Elephas maximus indicus: one gene and its partner. The protein of the gene in region 1 interacts with the protein of each later gene in a biochemical or structural test. Links are inferred from orthologs where the notes say so. Each region holds a gene or a part of one and is shown on either strand. Other genes may lie near its edges.

Region 1 (7,907 bases):
TCCTTGTTTTTCACTTAGGAGACATCGGAGTGGTCTGGGTCCAGCCACACAGCCAGGCCCTGCTTCCCTAAAGCAGACAGCACATCCTGAACTACGGTGTGAATTCCCTGGGACTGCCTGACAGCTGCTGGTGGATGACCTATCCAGTCTCTTCTAGTTCTGGCCATCTGGGACCTTGAGAGACTTGTCTCCCAACAGGAGGTCCACAGAGACCCAGTGCGCTTGTGTCTGCACTCAGGCATTTTGCAGAAGAACTGCTGTGGAGGAGTCAAAAGTTCCCTCCTACTTCTAGGGATCGTCCACCTGGTGATGACTTCCATCCGGCCTCAGGAAAAAGCATGCCTCCCCTGAGTCCCACAATGACCTCAGATCACAAAGACCCTTACAATCTTCTCTACAGTCTGCTCATTCATGTATCATCTCCTCCATGAACCCTTCTTCTTTCTCCCCGCCTTGTACTCCACAGCACCATGTTCTTTCATTTATTGCTTTCTATCTCTGTAGTTTTTGTACACATGGTGGCCTCCCCAACTAAGGTGTACATTCCCTAAATGCAGGGATTGTGACTTGGTGACCTCTTCACTCCTCAGGCTGCTGAGAATAATGCCATGGAAGATGGTTTACACATGCTAAGATCACATCATTCCACTGCTCAAAACCTCCTTATGTGTCAATGGCGTCTCATATCACTGAGTGAATGATAAAGAGCCTACAGAGGCCTACATGGTCCGATGTGATCTGTTGTTCCTGTTACCACTCTCCCCTTGCTCAGCACTCTCCACTATATGGGCCTCCTTATTGTTCTTTGAACACACCAGGCAAGAGCCACTTCAGAGCCTTGGCATTTGCTGTTCTCTTTATTGGGACATTCTTTCCCCAGATGTCTGCATGGTTCACTTTCTCATGTCCTTCAAGGTTCTCTCAAAGGCCACTCTCTGGGTGAGGCCTTCCCTGACCACTCTTCACACTGTGACCTTCACACACCTGGCTTTCCCTTTCCCTTGATCAGTGTTTCTCCACAGGACTCGTCACTTTCTTCCTAGTGCATATTTTACTCATTTGTTGCATTTATTTTCTGTCTCCTCTCTCCTCACTAGGACATAAGCTACATTCTAGTTTTTATTTGTTCACTTCTGTATCCCCAGAGCCTAGGATAATGCCTGGCTGGGTAGGCATTCAAAAAATATTTGTTGAAAGAAAGAACGAACAAATTAATAAAAAGTTTTCCATAAATATTTGTTAAATTGATTTAAAAGATTTAAGATACAGATGACTGTGAAATTTCCAAATTCTTTACAAATATGGCAAAAAAAAAAAAAAAGACAGGGAATGGTGATATTGAGTGAAAGCTACCTCATTATAAACATCCTTGAGGAAGGATTAAAATTATGTATTTATGGTGGAAGGGGCAACCGGGCAAGGAAACATGCACCATCAGAGAAATATTTGGGGCTACGTAATTTCCTCGTGAGAGGGCTCCATCTGGGAGCAGGGCTAACACAGCCCCACCACCTCATTTTGACACTTGTCTACTCACAGGTGTTTTAAGTTATTTTGGTCTTTGCCTCACTCCTCAGAACATGAAAGACAGACATCTGGCCTTGGCTATGTGAGACTTCTCAGCTCTAACTAGGAAACCACCAGAAGTGAAAACAACAACAAAAACACCACACACGACTAGATCCTGGGTCTTGGGGAAGCAGAGCCCATTTCTGAGCAGTGTGAGTGGAACTCTTTTTTACTCAGGCTCCGCCTTTGCACTGTTTATCTGAAAAATTTCTCCCTGGCTTACTCTTCTGCAGCCACCTACTTTCCACAGGAGCATGGCGCTCTGATCTCCACGTTCTCTCTTCCCTCGGGGACTCCATAGTATTTTTTTCACGCTTCGCTGATACTACAGCAGACGCCTGCCTTCTCATTATTTGCTGTACAGATCTCCGGTGCCTTGACTGTAAACAAAACACTTTAGATCATAGCAAGGTCATGTAAGCACAGCCCTTCTGCTGGCAGCCAGACTTCTTAAGGTGGCTTCACCGTGGCTCGTTTATTTCTCAAGAGTAACAAAGCAACAAAATGGTGCTCCCACATAGTAACTGAAGATTCAGTGTGTAGGGGATAGAAGTATTCATTTTCTACTTTTATACAAAATGTTAATCCCATTATAAAATTAAACTTCTGTGACAAGCTAGTACTCTAGAATTTCTCCATTCATGTATGTAGTAGTTTGTAGTTATTATTCACATATACGCATACATAATATAAAATTCCTCTGTAGTCTAGCAGAGATTTAAGAATTTGGGCAAAAACACCTTATTTCAGGGCTAGGATATAAATTAAGGTCGTGAAATCTATCTTAACTTTCCTGCCCCCCTTCCTAACCTAACAACTTAGTGGGGCATTAAACGTAGACAATTAAAGAGGATGAGACCTCCTGCTTTGATCCTAGGTGAACTCTTTTCTGTCAGCCAGGTAGCAAGCCCTGACTTTGAAACCATTCTGTACACTGTATTCCCTCACTGCTCCCTGGGTGCCACCTCTGTCCTTTTGGAATCTGCGTTTAGTTGAACTAGTTGATAGTGATATTAAAGGCCAGTAATGGCAACATTTAAATATCAGTGACCACAGACCACGTCAAGGAAACATCTGCAAGCAGTCCCGGGCCTGGGAAGGAGCCGTTTTGAACCACGAGTAGGAAAGGAAGGCCTGTAGCACAAGCTAATCCAGACAAAAACTTGAACCAGTTGGAACCATCAGGAAGGAAAACCCACTGCCACCGAGTCTATTCTGACTCAGCAACCATATAGGACAGAGTAGAACTGCCCCATAGAGTTTCCAAGGAGTGCCTGGTAGATTTGAACTACTAACCTTTTGGTTAGCAGCCATAGCTCTTAACCACTACACCACCAGGGTTTCCATCAGGAAGGAAAGGAACAGAAAACGAATCAGATTGTGAGATAGGAGACCTGTGTCTAGTCCTGGCTCTGCTACCAACTGAATGTGTGTCCCTGGACAGGAAACTTTTCTGAGCCTCAATTTTCTCAGTGGTAAAACGAGAAGGTTGAACCACAGGGTCCCCAGGGACCCTCCCCACACTAACATTCCAGAGTGTATACAGAGGACAAATAAGACGTGGTTGTGAAAGCAAGTTAAAAATCAAACTCATCGATAGCATAGGTGCATGAGAACACATTGCTGCTGTGCAATGTTGGAACCAAACCAAAAACCCACTGCTGTGGAGTGATTCCGATTCATAGCGGCCCTGTGTTAGAAATGGAGGTTAATTTCCAGTAAAATTTATTTACTTTGGTCCAAGGAAGATTATGTGTATTGGGAGTGGGACTGGGAAGGCAGTTAAAGACCCACTGAGCTATGACAACCCTGCCCACCCAGTTTTAACTTCCACCACCGAGCTGAAGACCAAACTGACTGATATGTTTCAATTTGCAGAGCGGAGAGGAGAAATGACCTAATCACGTCAGGCATGAGGACATGGTTGTGGTGGTTTTATAAATCATTTCATAACATAGACTTTGATTCTTAGGGGAAATATTTTCACCTTTCAACAGCTTGCAGTCCTCTGAAAGCAGCCAGTTGCATCTGAACGTAGTTTGGGTGTGTTGGAGCAGGAAGCCGGTGGGAGAGAAAGGTGGAGGAAGGAAGGAGCTGTTGCCTTTGGCGACTGGACTCAGGTAGAGGAAACTACTACAACCCGTGAAAGAATTGAAAAGTATAAAGAGAAGGAGGCGAGTTCCCACACGCAGTCAATGTCAGTGGCCTTAAGTGTACTGGGGAAGCAAGAACCTGGGCCAAGGGTGTAACCTCGGTTTTCAAAACTAAATGTATCTGAAACGGCTACAAAGTTTAAGGGACTTGGGCAAGCAGTCGAGCTTTTGATCTTTAGATTCTTTTCCAATGCGTGAGAGCTTGGGTTCAGAACACAGTATGAAGGCTGCGCCTGGCTACCTTATAGAAAGACATTAGCCCTGGCTTTTCCCCTTAACTTCTGGGTTAAGCCTGAGCTAACCGTTGCCCACCCCCTGTGGCACTCTGACATGGAGGCAGGGATGGGGTGCGCGGGGAGGGGGGTGGTCCTGGCCCTCGGCAAAGGTTTCCTGACCTCCTCCGCAGAGCACGAGGTGGGGGCCACTGCCTCGAGCCCAGAAGAAGCCTCAGCTCGCACCATCTGCCTCCGCCCTCCACTCCCCCGCGCCTCCGGCTCGGCGAGTGCAGGGAAAACAAGATCGCCACCGAGGCTCAAAACGTTGAGAGGAGAGCAACATTACAGATCATCTGGTCCAGCCCCTTCGTTTCACCGGCCAGGAGCTGGAGGTCTGGGCTAACGAGCGGGCGGGCCAGCCAGCGCAGCGCGGGGACCAGTACCCATGGCCCCGCCTGCCCCGCCGCAGAGGCCCCTCCCCAGCTTCCCGGCCGTTTGGCTAGTTTGTTTGTCTTATTTTTAATTTCTCCGAGGCCAGCCAGAGCAGGTTTGCTGGCAGCAGTACACCTCCAGCAATCACGGGACCAGCCAATCTCCTCCTTGCGCTCTCGGAGTCGGCGCGCTCTGGAAGGCGGAGAGGCGGCGGAACCGCGCCGGGGCCACCTTAAGGCCGCGCTCGCCAGCCTCAGCTGGGCGGCTCCCGGCGCCGCAACCAATGGATCTCCTCCTCTGTTTAAATAGACTTGCGGTGTCAATCATTTTCTTCTTCGTCAGCCTCCCTTCCACCGCCATATTGGGCAACTAAAAAAAGGGGGCTCGCCTTTTCAGGGTGTTTTTCTCCCTTTCCCTTCTCCCCACTTTCTCTCCGCTCCGCGACTCTGACGCCGGCAAGGTTTGGAGAGCGGCTGGGTTCGCGGGACCCGCGGGCTAGCGGCAGCCGGGACTTGGCCTGGCCTTTCCGCCCCCTCCTCCTTCCTCCTCCCCTCCCCTCCCCGCCCTCCCGCTCGCCGGTACACTTGATCTGCGGAGACTTTCGGCTGCCTCTCCGGGGCTTCCCCTTACTCCCTCCCCCAGATCCAGCGCGCTCCTGAAGCTCGGGCACTTACTTGTTGGTGTTTGTTTCTCTTGGCTCCGAGGGCAGTCGCAGAGCTTCTAAAAGGGGGTTGGGTTGGGTCGGGGCGTTTTGTTTTGTTCGGTTTTGTTTTTTGAGAGAGCCAGAGAGGCGGTAGTAAAGACTCGAGAGGAAGATGTCAAACGTGCGAGTGTCTAACGGGAGCCCGAGCCTGGAGCGGATGGACGCCAGACAGGCGGAGTACCCTAAGCCCTCCGCCTGCAGAAACCTCTTCGGCCCGGTGAATCACGAAGAGTTAACTCGGGACTTGGAGAAGCACTGCAGAGACATGGAAGAGGCTAGCCAGCGCAAGTGGAATTTTGATTTTCAGAATCACAAGCCCCTGGAGGGGAAATACGAGTGGCAAGAGATGGAAAAGGGCAGCTTGCCCGAGTTTTACTACAGACCCCCGCGGCCCCCCAAAGGCGCATGCAAGGTACCGGCGCAAGAGAGCCAGGATGTCAACGGGAGCCGTCAGGCGGTGCCTTTAATAGGGTCTCAGGCAAACTCAGAGGACACACATTTGGTAGACCAAAAGACTGAAACATCAGACAGCCAGACGGGGTTAGCGGAGCAGTGCCCTGGGATACGGAAGAGACCTGCAACAGACGGTAATGACCTTTTCAAACGTATATGCCTGTCTGGGGCAGCGCTTTGCTTGCTTGAGGGTCTTAAATTTAGCTCTTTGTACCGTATTCTGATCTAGATTTTGGGAGCGAACTTTATTAATCCTGGGCTGTGAATGCTACCTGCTGACTGCTTGTTTGTTTACGCTTTTTAAACCAGAATCCAGCGATGGGGTAATATCTGATATTTTCACTAACTTAAAACATCGCAGTTCCTTTTCCAGCCTTAGTTATGTGACAATGTTGAGATGTTTATCAACGGCCTTCCTCTACCCTGTGGAGAGAGCGATTTGGGGCGTAGAATACACTTTTTGTTACGTGAAAACAATCTGATTTTGTGCACTTAAAGGGCACTGTGATGAAGGATCCAGGATTGTGGGTGGAGGTAGTGGGTTTTTCATTCCCTGACTATGGGGTCAACTTGTCTGAGCCATTGTTTTTTCTAATAAAGATTGTGTGTGTGCTTTTTTTTTTTTTTTTTTGGAATTTCCCCTTGTCCTTAGATTCTTCTACTCAAAACAAAAGAGCCAACAGAACAGAAGAAAATGTTTCAGAAGGGTCCCCAAACGCAGGCTCAGTGGAGCAGACGCCCAAGAAGCCGAGCCTCAGAAGACGTCAAACATAAACCGCTTGGTGGGTTGATTACTAAGAGCAAACAACTGACACCCGAATGGGGCTGCAGGAACCCTGTGGGTCAGAAAACCCCAAGATACCTGATCTTCCTGGTTGCTGGCAGATAAGGAGCTCGTGGGTGTTTGTTTTTATTTTGTGAGGTCAAAAAAGTAGGAATGGGGAAACGTGGGGAATCACTGTGGGAATACTGTAATTCTTCAAAATCTACGTCCTGAGATAATTTTCCCTTAACACACTATACAGCTAGAACAAGTGTGCTAGGCAAGTACTTGTAGCCAAGACCCCATGAGTAGGAAGGTTATTTCCTTGTGAGTCCCACCAAAACATGCTGGGAACAATAGGTTCTTTCCTCATCTGAGTGAGAACTGGGGTAAGCCTCAGTCCCACTTCATGAGGACTCATTTCCCAGAGGTTCAGGTTGAGTCACTAACAGATTTTGAGGCCATACATTCAATGATTGGCTTTCAAATTTGAGGGGGGAAGTTAGGTACAAAAAGCTCACATTTGGTTAATCAAGTGATTAGAAATGTGAATAGGGTGGAATGTTGTGTTCTTTTCTTTTTACTGTTTTCATAGACTATCACTTATCATTATCTGGTTTCTGATAAATTTGGGGGAGAGAAGGAGCCTGCATATTTTTAAAAAAAAATCCCTAGTGAAAGCTCAAAAATACTAAAGTTCCTGTAGAATTCTGGTAACACCAAAGTTGCAAAGCAGAAGTTAAATGAACTCTGCCAGGGTAAGCAATCCAGGAACACGTCAGCATGTGTATGCTAATCATGCTATAACAGGACAATGTAGATATTTGTAGGGGAAATGGGTAGTACAGATCAGGGCTTGCCAAGGGTAGGTCTACCAGGCACAAGAGAAGTGGAGATTTTTCCATTTACTAAAATTTGATCACCATGTATAGCTAATTTGAATACTTTAGCACTCAAGTGGATTGGCTGTGCCTGATAATCAAACTGCATGTATTCTAGTAGTTTACAGGCTTCTTAAAAACGAGGACTGTTAACCCTTTTTTTTTTCCTCCAAAAAGCACACTTAAAGCCTAGCATTTAAAAAGATCATAGTAGATGTTGATATTAACTTTTTAAATCCTAGTTTATAAAATTTTTAAAATAAATTCCCACAAGGATTAAAGCGGGGTTCAGGTTTGTTGTGTTTTTAAAACATTATAATGTCATATGTATGACTTTTCCACACATGTATATATTTTTAGAGCTTATACAAAATGGCACTATAAAATCTCTCTATTATATACAGTTCTGTATGAAGTAGGAAAATTTTTCTTGAAGCAACCTTAACACATACAGCTCTTTTTGGTTTGTGACTTGTGGCTTTGCTCATTACATGAGCCGCTGTGAATCAGAACTACTGAATTCTGACCACATTCTGACATGCAGAGAGACATTCGTTAGTAAATGTTGCCAATTTAAAGAATCCTAGGAGTAGTAGTAAGGTCTGTTCAAAAGCATGTATGTGTATATTCTGTCTGTAAATAAGAGAATATTTATTTGTTCCTGAGTTTTTAAAAAAGATACTGATTGAATTTTCATTTGAAGGGCCTTTATAAATTATATTTAGTTTTTCAAATTTA
Region 2 (7,966 bases), on another chromosome or scaffold:
TTCAGGTGATTGCTTCCTCCCCTGTTTTTCTTTTGTCAGTTATCCAGTGGTTTATCAATTTTGTTAATGTTTTCAAAGAACAAGCTTTTGTTCTTGTTAGCTCTTTCAATTGTTTTTCTATTCTCTATTTCATTTAATTCTGCTCCAATTTTCATTATTTGCTTTCTTCTGGTTCCCCAGGATTTCTTTTGTTGCTCTCTATTTCTTCAAGTTGCAGGCATAATTCTTTGATTTTGGCCCTTTCTACTTTTTGGATGTGTACATTTATTGATAGAAATTGACCCCTGAGCACTGCTTTCACTGTGTCCCAAAAGTTCTGATAGGAAATATTTTCATTTTCATTGGATTCTATGAATTTCTTTATCCCATCCTTAATTTCTTCTATAACCCATTTGCTTTTTATCAGGGTATTGTTCAGTTTCCAATTGTTTAATTTCTTTTCCCTGCTTTTTCTGTTATTGATTTCTGCTTTTATGGCTTTATGACAGAGAAGCTGCTTTGTAGTATTTCATTGTTTTGGATTCTGCTAAGGCTTGCTTTATGACCTAATATGTGGTTTATTCTAGAGAATGTTCCATGTGCACTAGAAAAGAATTATACTTGGCTGCTGCTGGGTGGTGTGTTCTGTATATATCTATGAGGTCAAATTCCTTGATTGTGACATTTAGATCTTCCGTGTCTTCACTGAACTTCTTTCTGGATGTTCTGTCCTTCACTGAAAGTGGTGTGTTGAAGTCTCCTACTATAATTGTGGCGCTGTCTATCTCACTTTTCAATGCTGATAGAGTTTATGTACCTGAAGCCCTGTCATTGGGTACGTATTTAATACCGTTGTATCCTCCCGGTATATTGTCCCTTTAATCATTATATAGTGTCCTTCCTTTTTCGTTGTGGTGGATTTTACTTTAAAGTCTGTTTTGTCAGAAATTAATATTGACACTCCTGCTGTTTTTTGGTTGTTGTTTGCTTGGTATATTTTTTTCCGTCCTTTGAATTTTAGCTTGTTTGTGTCTTTAAGTCTAAGGTGTGTCTCTTGTAGGCAGTATATAGACAGATCATGTTTTTTTAATCCATTCTGCCACTCTCTGTCTCTTTATTGGTGCATTTATTCCATTTACATTCAGTGTAATTATGTTTTATGAGTTTAGTGCTATTATTTTGATGTCTTTTTTTGTGTGTGTTTGACAGGTTTTTTTCCACTTAATTTTTTGTGCTGAGTAGTTTTTCTTTTTATATTATAGTCTTTTCATCTTTTTCATTGTTGATTTTGTTTTTGCTGAGTCGTTACATTTTTTCTTGTATTTTATTCTGATGCATAGGATTGTTAACCTGTTTTGTGGTTACCATAATATTTACTCCTATTTTTCTAGGTTTAAACCAAACTCTTATTTGTTTATATCACCTTGACTTCTTTTCTATATGAAAGATCTATGACTATATTTTTTAGTCCCTCTTTATTGATTTAATGTTGCCATCTTTTACATAATGACATCACTGTTTCCCTGTTTTCAGCATTTTTTTATCTTGATTTTTTTGTGTGTGTGTGATTTCCCTATCTGGGTTGACACCTAGTTGCTCTGTCCTGCGTTCTAGTATTGTGTTGATAGCTGATATTATTGATTTTCTAACCAGAGAACTCCCTTTAGTATTTCTTGTAGTTTTGGTTTGGCTTTTGTAAATTCCCTAAACTTCTGTTTATCTGGAAGTGTCCTAATTTCACCTTCATATTTGAGAGACAGTCTTGCTGAATATATGATTCTTGACTGGTGATTTTTTTTTCCTTCAATGCTGTATATATGTTATCCTATTGCCTTCCTGCCTGCATGGTTTCTGCTAAGTAGTCTGCGCTAATTCTTATTAACTCTCCTTTGTGGGTGACTTTTTGTTTATCCCTAGCTGCTCTTAAAATCCTCTTTTTATCTTTGGTTTTGCCAAGTTTGGTTATAATATATCTTGGTGATTTTCTTTTGGAATCTATCTCATGTGGGATTCAATGAGCATCCTGGATAGATATCTTCGTATCGTTCACAGTATCAGGGAAGTTTCTGTCAATATATCTTCAACAATTTTCTGTTCTCCTTTCCTGTTCTGGTACTCCAATGACTCGTCAATTATTTCTCTTGATAGAGTCCCACATGATTCTTAGGGTTTTTTTTTTTTTTAATCTTTTGTACAATTTTTATTTGAATATATTGGTGCCAAGTTTTTTATCTTCCATCTCACTAATTCTGACTTCCATTTCCTCAATTCTGCTCCTCTGACTTTCTACTGAGTTGTCTAATTCTGAAATTTTATTGTTAATCTTCTGAATTTCTGATTGCTGTCTCTCTATGGATTCTTGCAGCTTTCAGGCAGCCATCTATGTGTGTGGAACAAAGGAGAGTGAAGGAAACCAAAGACTGAAGGAAATAGTCCAAAGGACTAGTGGACCACAGGAGCCACAGCCTCCACCAGCCTGAGACCATAAGAACTAGATGGTGACTGGCTACCACTACCAACTGCTCTGAACAGGATCACAAAAAGGTCCCAGTTAGAGTGAGGGGAAAATGTAGGACAAAATTCAAATTCATAAAAAAAAAAAAAAAAAAAGACCAGATTTACTGGTCAGAGAAAGATTGGAGGAACCCCTGAGAATGTAGCCCTTAGATACCCTTCTAATTTGGAACCAAAGCCATGCCTGGAGATCGCCTTTCAGCCAAATAATAGACAGGCCTATAAAATAAACAAGAACACCCATGATAAAAGTGCTTCTTAAAATAATCATCTCCATGAGACCAAAAGGACAACATATGTCCAAAAGCAAAGATGAGAAGACAGGAAGTGGCAGGAAAACCAGAGAAATGGAAATGGAGAACTCAGGGTGGTAATGTGCTGACACATTTTGGGGAATGCCGCCTATGTCATGGAACAAAGTGTGTATAAACTATTGAATGGGAAGCTAACTTGCTCTGTAAACCTTCACCTAAAGAACAATAAAAAAGTTTTACCTTTAGAGACCTATTATGTCATATTCCTTACAATAAAAAGATTCAAATAAAAGACATTAAAAAAAAAAAACTGAAGGTGTTGGATTCTCTACCTACTCACAGAAATCTACAGTTTTCTGACAGGTAGATCACTTTATTAGATTTTACATTTATTTGACTCTTAACGGATGTACAAGTCTTTTCTGCTTAACATTTTAAAAGTATTTGCACTCGATAGAATGTGGCATTTTTTAAAACTCAAAGAGATATTTAAAATGATTTCTGCTTGAATTTTGGCTATCTCACATGTTGTTTTCTCTGATTTACACTCACAATTTCTGAGGTCATTATTCTAATACACATTAATCCTTCTTGCACAAAGTTTGCATTTTTTTCTCCACTCATCCATGCAGTAGACTGAGGAGAATGTTCTGCCAGGTGTTGTGCTAAATCCTGGGATTATAAAATTGAATAAAAGCCCTTTGTCTATACTTAAGGGGTTTAGATTCCAATGGACTAGACCTATAAGTTAACAGAAAATCATTGTGAGTACTTGTTCAATGGCTGTCTTTTTCCACTGAATTTTGTGCTCCATGAGGGCAGGGATCTTGTGTGTCTGATTCCCTGATGTTAATACCAGCATCTAATATGCAGTTGGCAGTCAATAAGTATTTATTAAATGAGAAAGGGCTAAAATGGATGCATACAGAGGGAGCCATAGGAGCCCCCCAAAGGGACACCTGCCTAGTTTTATGGGTGCAGATTAGGCTGGGGGTGGTGTGAGGGTGTCACTACAGAGGTATTAGAACTTTCTTGAAGTGAGATTTGAGCCAAGTCCCAGGAGGTAGAAGAAATTAGTGAGATAAAAGCATGACTGGAGTGGCTCAGGAGCTTCCCTATCATTGTTGAGGAACTTTAAGTACTTCTGGAGTGCCAAGAAGGATCAGTCTGTAGAGGCATGCAGGGAGAGATTTTGTAGGGTCTTGTTTTTTTTGTTGTTGTTTACTGTCAAGTCACTCCAACTCATAGTGACCCTATAGGAGTAAAACTGCCCCACAGGGTTTTCTAGGCTGTAATCTTTATGACTTAAATCCACTCTGTGCCAATGTGAGTTTTTTTTTTTTTTTAATCTTTGCGGAAGCAGATTAATTACCATATCTTTTTCTCACAGAGGGTTTGAACTTCAGATCTTTTGGTTAGCAGCTGAGCACTTAATCACTGTTGTCACCAGGGCTCCCTGAAGGGCCTTATAGGCTGTGCTGTTTATTTATTTCTATTTTAGTATATATAATATTTTATATTTTTTGCTTGCTTAACTTACATTTTTTACTTGTCCACAAACTCATACCACACTAGTTGCTCACTGATATTAAGGACTGTATCTTTTTTTTTTTTTTTTATCTTTTTTGTTACCCAAACCTGTTGCCCTGGAGTCGATTTGGACTCATAGGGACCCTACAGGACAGCGTAGAACTGCTCTACAGGGTCTCTGAACAGCGGCTGCTGGATTCGAACTGCTGACTTTTTTTTTTTTGGTTAGTAGCCCAAGCTGTTAACGACTTCGCCACGAGGGCTCCGACTCACAGCGACTCTGGAGGGAAAGTCAATGTAAGCATTTTAGGATTTATTAGGGTTTGTCATACCCAGGTACCAATAAGATTAAGGAAAACGTCCGGGTTGTTGAACTACGTTATACCCGGACAGTAAAAAGAGCCGAACAGACTGTTGTGTTGCGCTCCGAAGCCAGGCTTGGCAAACAAATAACACGAAAGGGCAGAGCAAGTGTTGGTACCCATCAAGAGTGGCAAGCAGGACGTGTCTGTGGGCATACGTGGCTGTTTCGCGCGCTGAGCGGCCCTGAATTTGATACTAGCTTAGAAAACCCAAGGAGACAGAAACGTTGAGTAAGCGGAACGCGGAACTCAGGCACCCTGGCTCTCCCTCCGGACGCAGTTTTCAAGCGCACCAGCGAGCATTCGGCAGAAGGTGGAGCGTCTCCCCTCGATCGAGGCGGTGCCTCAGCCGGAAGGAGACTGAACTGCCTGTAGGGAAAAAAGCGCAGGAGTCGGTCTTTCCTCCATAGCTTCCCCGCCAGCTAGAAGATCCTAAGCCGTAGCACAGGCTTCCGGCTTCTCAGTAAATGATTAGTGGTCGAATCGGCCTCCGCGGAAGCGGTGGCAAGCCTCTTCCGCCTCCCAGTCAGTTTTAGGACCCGAAAGGAGAGCCGCCGTCGACTTTTCCAGAGGATTCATTCCAGGCGAGGTGAGTTTGGAGGAAAGCCGTGAGTTCCGTCGAAGAAAGCAGGCCATCCTTGGGGCCGCCTTCCTCTTTTCTGATTGGTTAAGTGCTCCCTCAATCAGTTCTTCTAGCTAGTGATTGGTTGGAATGCTCTGTCTCTCACTGACTTCCGGGTGGGAATCTAGGTCGCCAAGGGAAGCGTTACTTCGCTCTCGTTTGGGAAGAGGTTGGTTGGGCCCTGGAGCCGAGTTTGTTTGTTGCAGTCGGGACTGTCCCCGAGGCGCGAGCTTCCGTCGCAACGGACAAGAAGGGAACTAGTAGCGGGACGGCGGGCAGAGGGGCAAGAAAGTGAAGGTTTAAAAGTAAAGTGTATTCACACGTAATCCTGGCCACAGCTAAATGGGAGGAGGAGAGGCAGGAAGGCCTTTGGGAGAGAGGAGCGTAATCTCTGGGGCTGGGACAGTGTAGGAGGAAAGGCCTACATTTCTGTTGTGGGAGCAAAGGGCCTGGCGGGAGATTTTCATGACCTAATTGTGTGGGGATCTCATTTTCTAGGTGAGTGTCTAAGAAAATCCACGGGAGAATTGGCTTTGTCTTGCAGCGGAGTGGAGACTACCAGCAGTTCCGGCCTTCCAAAAGACAGATTAGTTTGAATAATTCGGCTCTTTTCCAATTGCTTCAGATGGGCAATTCTTAAAAAAAAACACGAACAATTGAAAGATGGATACCGTTGCATATATTGAAAGCATATTGAAAGGAAAATAAGGTATTCACTTTGATCTGTGGTAAATTATGCGAGAAAATTTCCTGTGAGGAGATGCTCTTAAGTTTTGAGTAATAATAAGAGGAGCTTGATTTATGATAGGTATCAACTTTTTAAATTGTTTAGTACAAAAATTTTATTAAAACTGTCCCTACTAAATAGATTCCTTGGTCCTGATTATTCTGAAAGGGGAAAGAAATCTTAAGTTTTTGGTAATGTTGATTTACATTTGAGTGGATTGCTCTTCTAGATCTTTCATTAAAAAAGACATGGTCACTGTAAAAAAAATTCTTGAATTTGTAATTGCTTGGTACAGTACATACGAATTTGGGTAAGTGCTGGCTTATACAGTAGTTTAGAACTGTAAGCTAATTTTATATTTAAAGCAATATGCTGATTTAACACCTAGTATTTTTTATATTTATATATTGAGAATTAGAATTGCAACTGGCAACCTAAATCATTTGATCCTCCGGCCTTTACTAACTTACATTAACTCGCACCCTTTGGTGACATACAGAAATTGTCTGGGAATAGTTTATTTCATCACAGTACCTCAAATGAGCTCTTAAAGATAGGTGTTGGCCCTACCCTGGAAAATTCTAATTTAGAATTGGGGATGAGATGTGAACATTCCTTTTTTTTTGTTTTTGATTTCTTCAGGTGGTTGTGATGTGCACTCCCAATTGAGAACCATTGCCTTAGTGATTTAATAAATGTTCAAAAAAGAGTTAAGATATTTACAAAAATTTTTTTTTTGCCATGATTTCCTTATAGTAAGGAGCCCTGGTGGTGCAGTGATTAAAGGACTTGGCTGCAAACTGAAAGGTTGGCAGTTTGAACCCATCAGCTGCTCTGCCAGAGAAAGATGTGGCAGCCTGCTTCCATAAAGATTTACAGTCTTGGAAACCCTATGGGGCAGTTCTACTCTGTCCTGGGTAGCTATGAGTTGGAATCCACTCACAACAGTGGGTTTGGTTTTGAGTTTCCTGGAAACCCTGGTGGTATAGTGGTTAATGCTACGGCTGCTAACCAAAAGGTTGGCAGTTCGAGTCTACCAGGTGCTCCTTGGAAACCCTATGAGGCAGTTCTCCTCTGTCCTGTAGGGTCGCTATGCATCAGAAATGACTCAGTGGCAACGGGTTTGGTTTTTTTGGTTTTTGTGTTTTAAAAGTAGGTTTCTCAGGGATGACATTTAAGCATAATATAAATAAAGTGTTTGTTTAGGCAAGGTGAAGAATTTCCCCGGTACTCAGAGACATGGGACTAACGATTCCAGGCTTTGGGGAGCGCTCTCTGCACTCTCACAGTTCTCAGAGCCGTGCATGGAGGGCTCTTTACTGTTAAATTTCAAAAGGCTTTCTGTTAGGCTTTCAAGAGAGATCGGGAGGAATAATTATTTTTACCTCAACAAAGTGCAATGCGGTAATAGTACGTTTATCTGAGTTTTATTTTGAGAAGAATATTCTTGCCGAAAATAAATACAAATAGCCCTTGCTTATTAAGTAAAGAACGTAAATAATTAAAGGTTGAAATTTATGAATTACATGAAATATCCAGATACTTGAAACATCAGTAAGGGTTTTTAGACTGAGTTAACCACAATATTGAGGGGTTAAAAAAAAATGAGGCACTCACTTTGAGATTCAGATATGGAAAGTTGTGTGGTAAAGCCAAATCCAGTCTGACTTTAACTATGACTTTAGGCAAAGAAGTAGGTCCTGTTGTGTTCTGTCTCTTAGCTGTTTTTCATTTGTGTGGATATTCACAAGATTTGGCAAATGAAGTATTTGAGTAGGGACAAAAAGACCAAATAAATACGAAAAAAAAAAAAAAACAGATAAAAGCTATAAGGTAAAAATATAAAGCCATGTGTCATCCACGAATAAATACCTTGACTTCTGTATGTATTGTTTGAACAGAAAGCCAGGAAATCTCAGTATGAGTCAGTCTAGATCTAGATCAGATGATGGTGGTGAAGAATCCTCATTTCAAGACC

What was found.
Region 2: of the proteins of CDKN1B (region 1) and RNF6, one has a biochemical effect on the other in vitro, tested with the Homo sapiens proteins (2 studies listed by BioGRID, with this or other methods). The link is inferred for Elephas maximus indicus from reciprocal best matches to the Homo sapiens genes CDKN1B and RNF6.

The regions. Positions count from the first base shown.
Region 1 is NC_064822.1:71,306,802-71,314,708, forward strand, and holds the start of CDKN1B (cyclin-dependent kinase inhibitor 1B), read left to right. Parts: upstream 1-4,887; 5' UTR 4,888-5,184; coding exon 5,185-5,659; intron 5,660-6,177; coding exon 6,178-6,299; 3' UTR 6,300-6,307; intron 6,308-7,907. UniProt on the Homo sapiens protein: Important regulator of cell cycle progression. Inhibits the kinase activity of CDK2 bound to cyclin A, but has little inhibitory activity on CDK2 bound to SPDYA. Involved in G1 arrest. Potent inhibitor of cyclin E- and cyclin A-CDK2 complexes.
Region 2 is NC_064841.1:57,961,942-57,969,907, reverse strand, and holds the start of RNF6 (E3 ubiquitin-protein ligase RNF6), read left to right. Parts: upstream 1-4,942; 5' UTR 4,943-5,228; intron 5,229-5,248; exon of another isoform or gene 5,249-5,430; intron 5,431-5,759; exon of another isoform or gene 5,760-5,970; intron 5,971-7,889; 5' UTR 7,890-7,908; coding exon 7,909-7,966. UniProt on the Homo sapiens protein: E3 ubiquitin-protein ligase mediating 'Lys-48'-linked polyubiquitination of LIMK1 and its subsequent targeting to the proteasome for degradation. Negatively regulates axonal outgrowth through regulation of the LIMK1 turnover.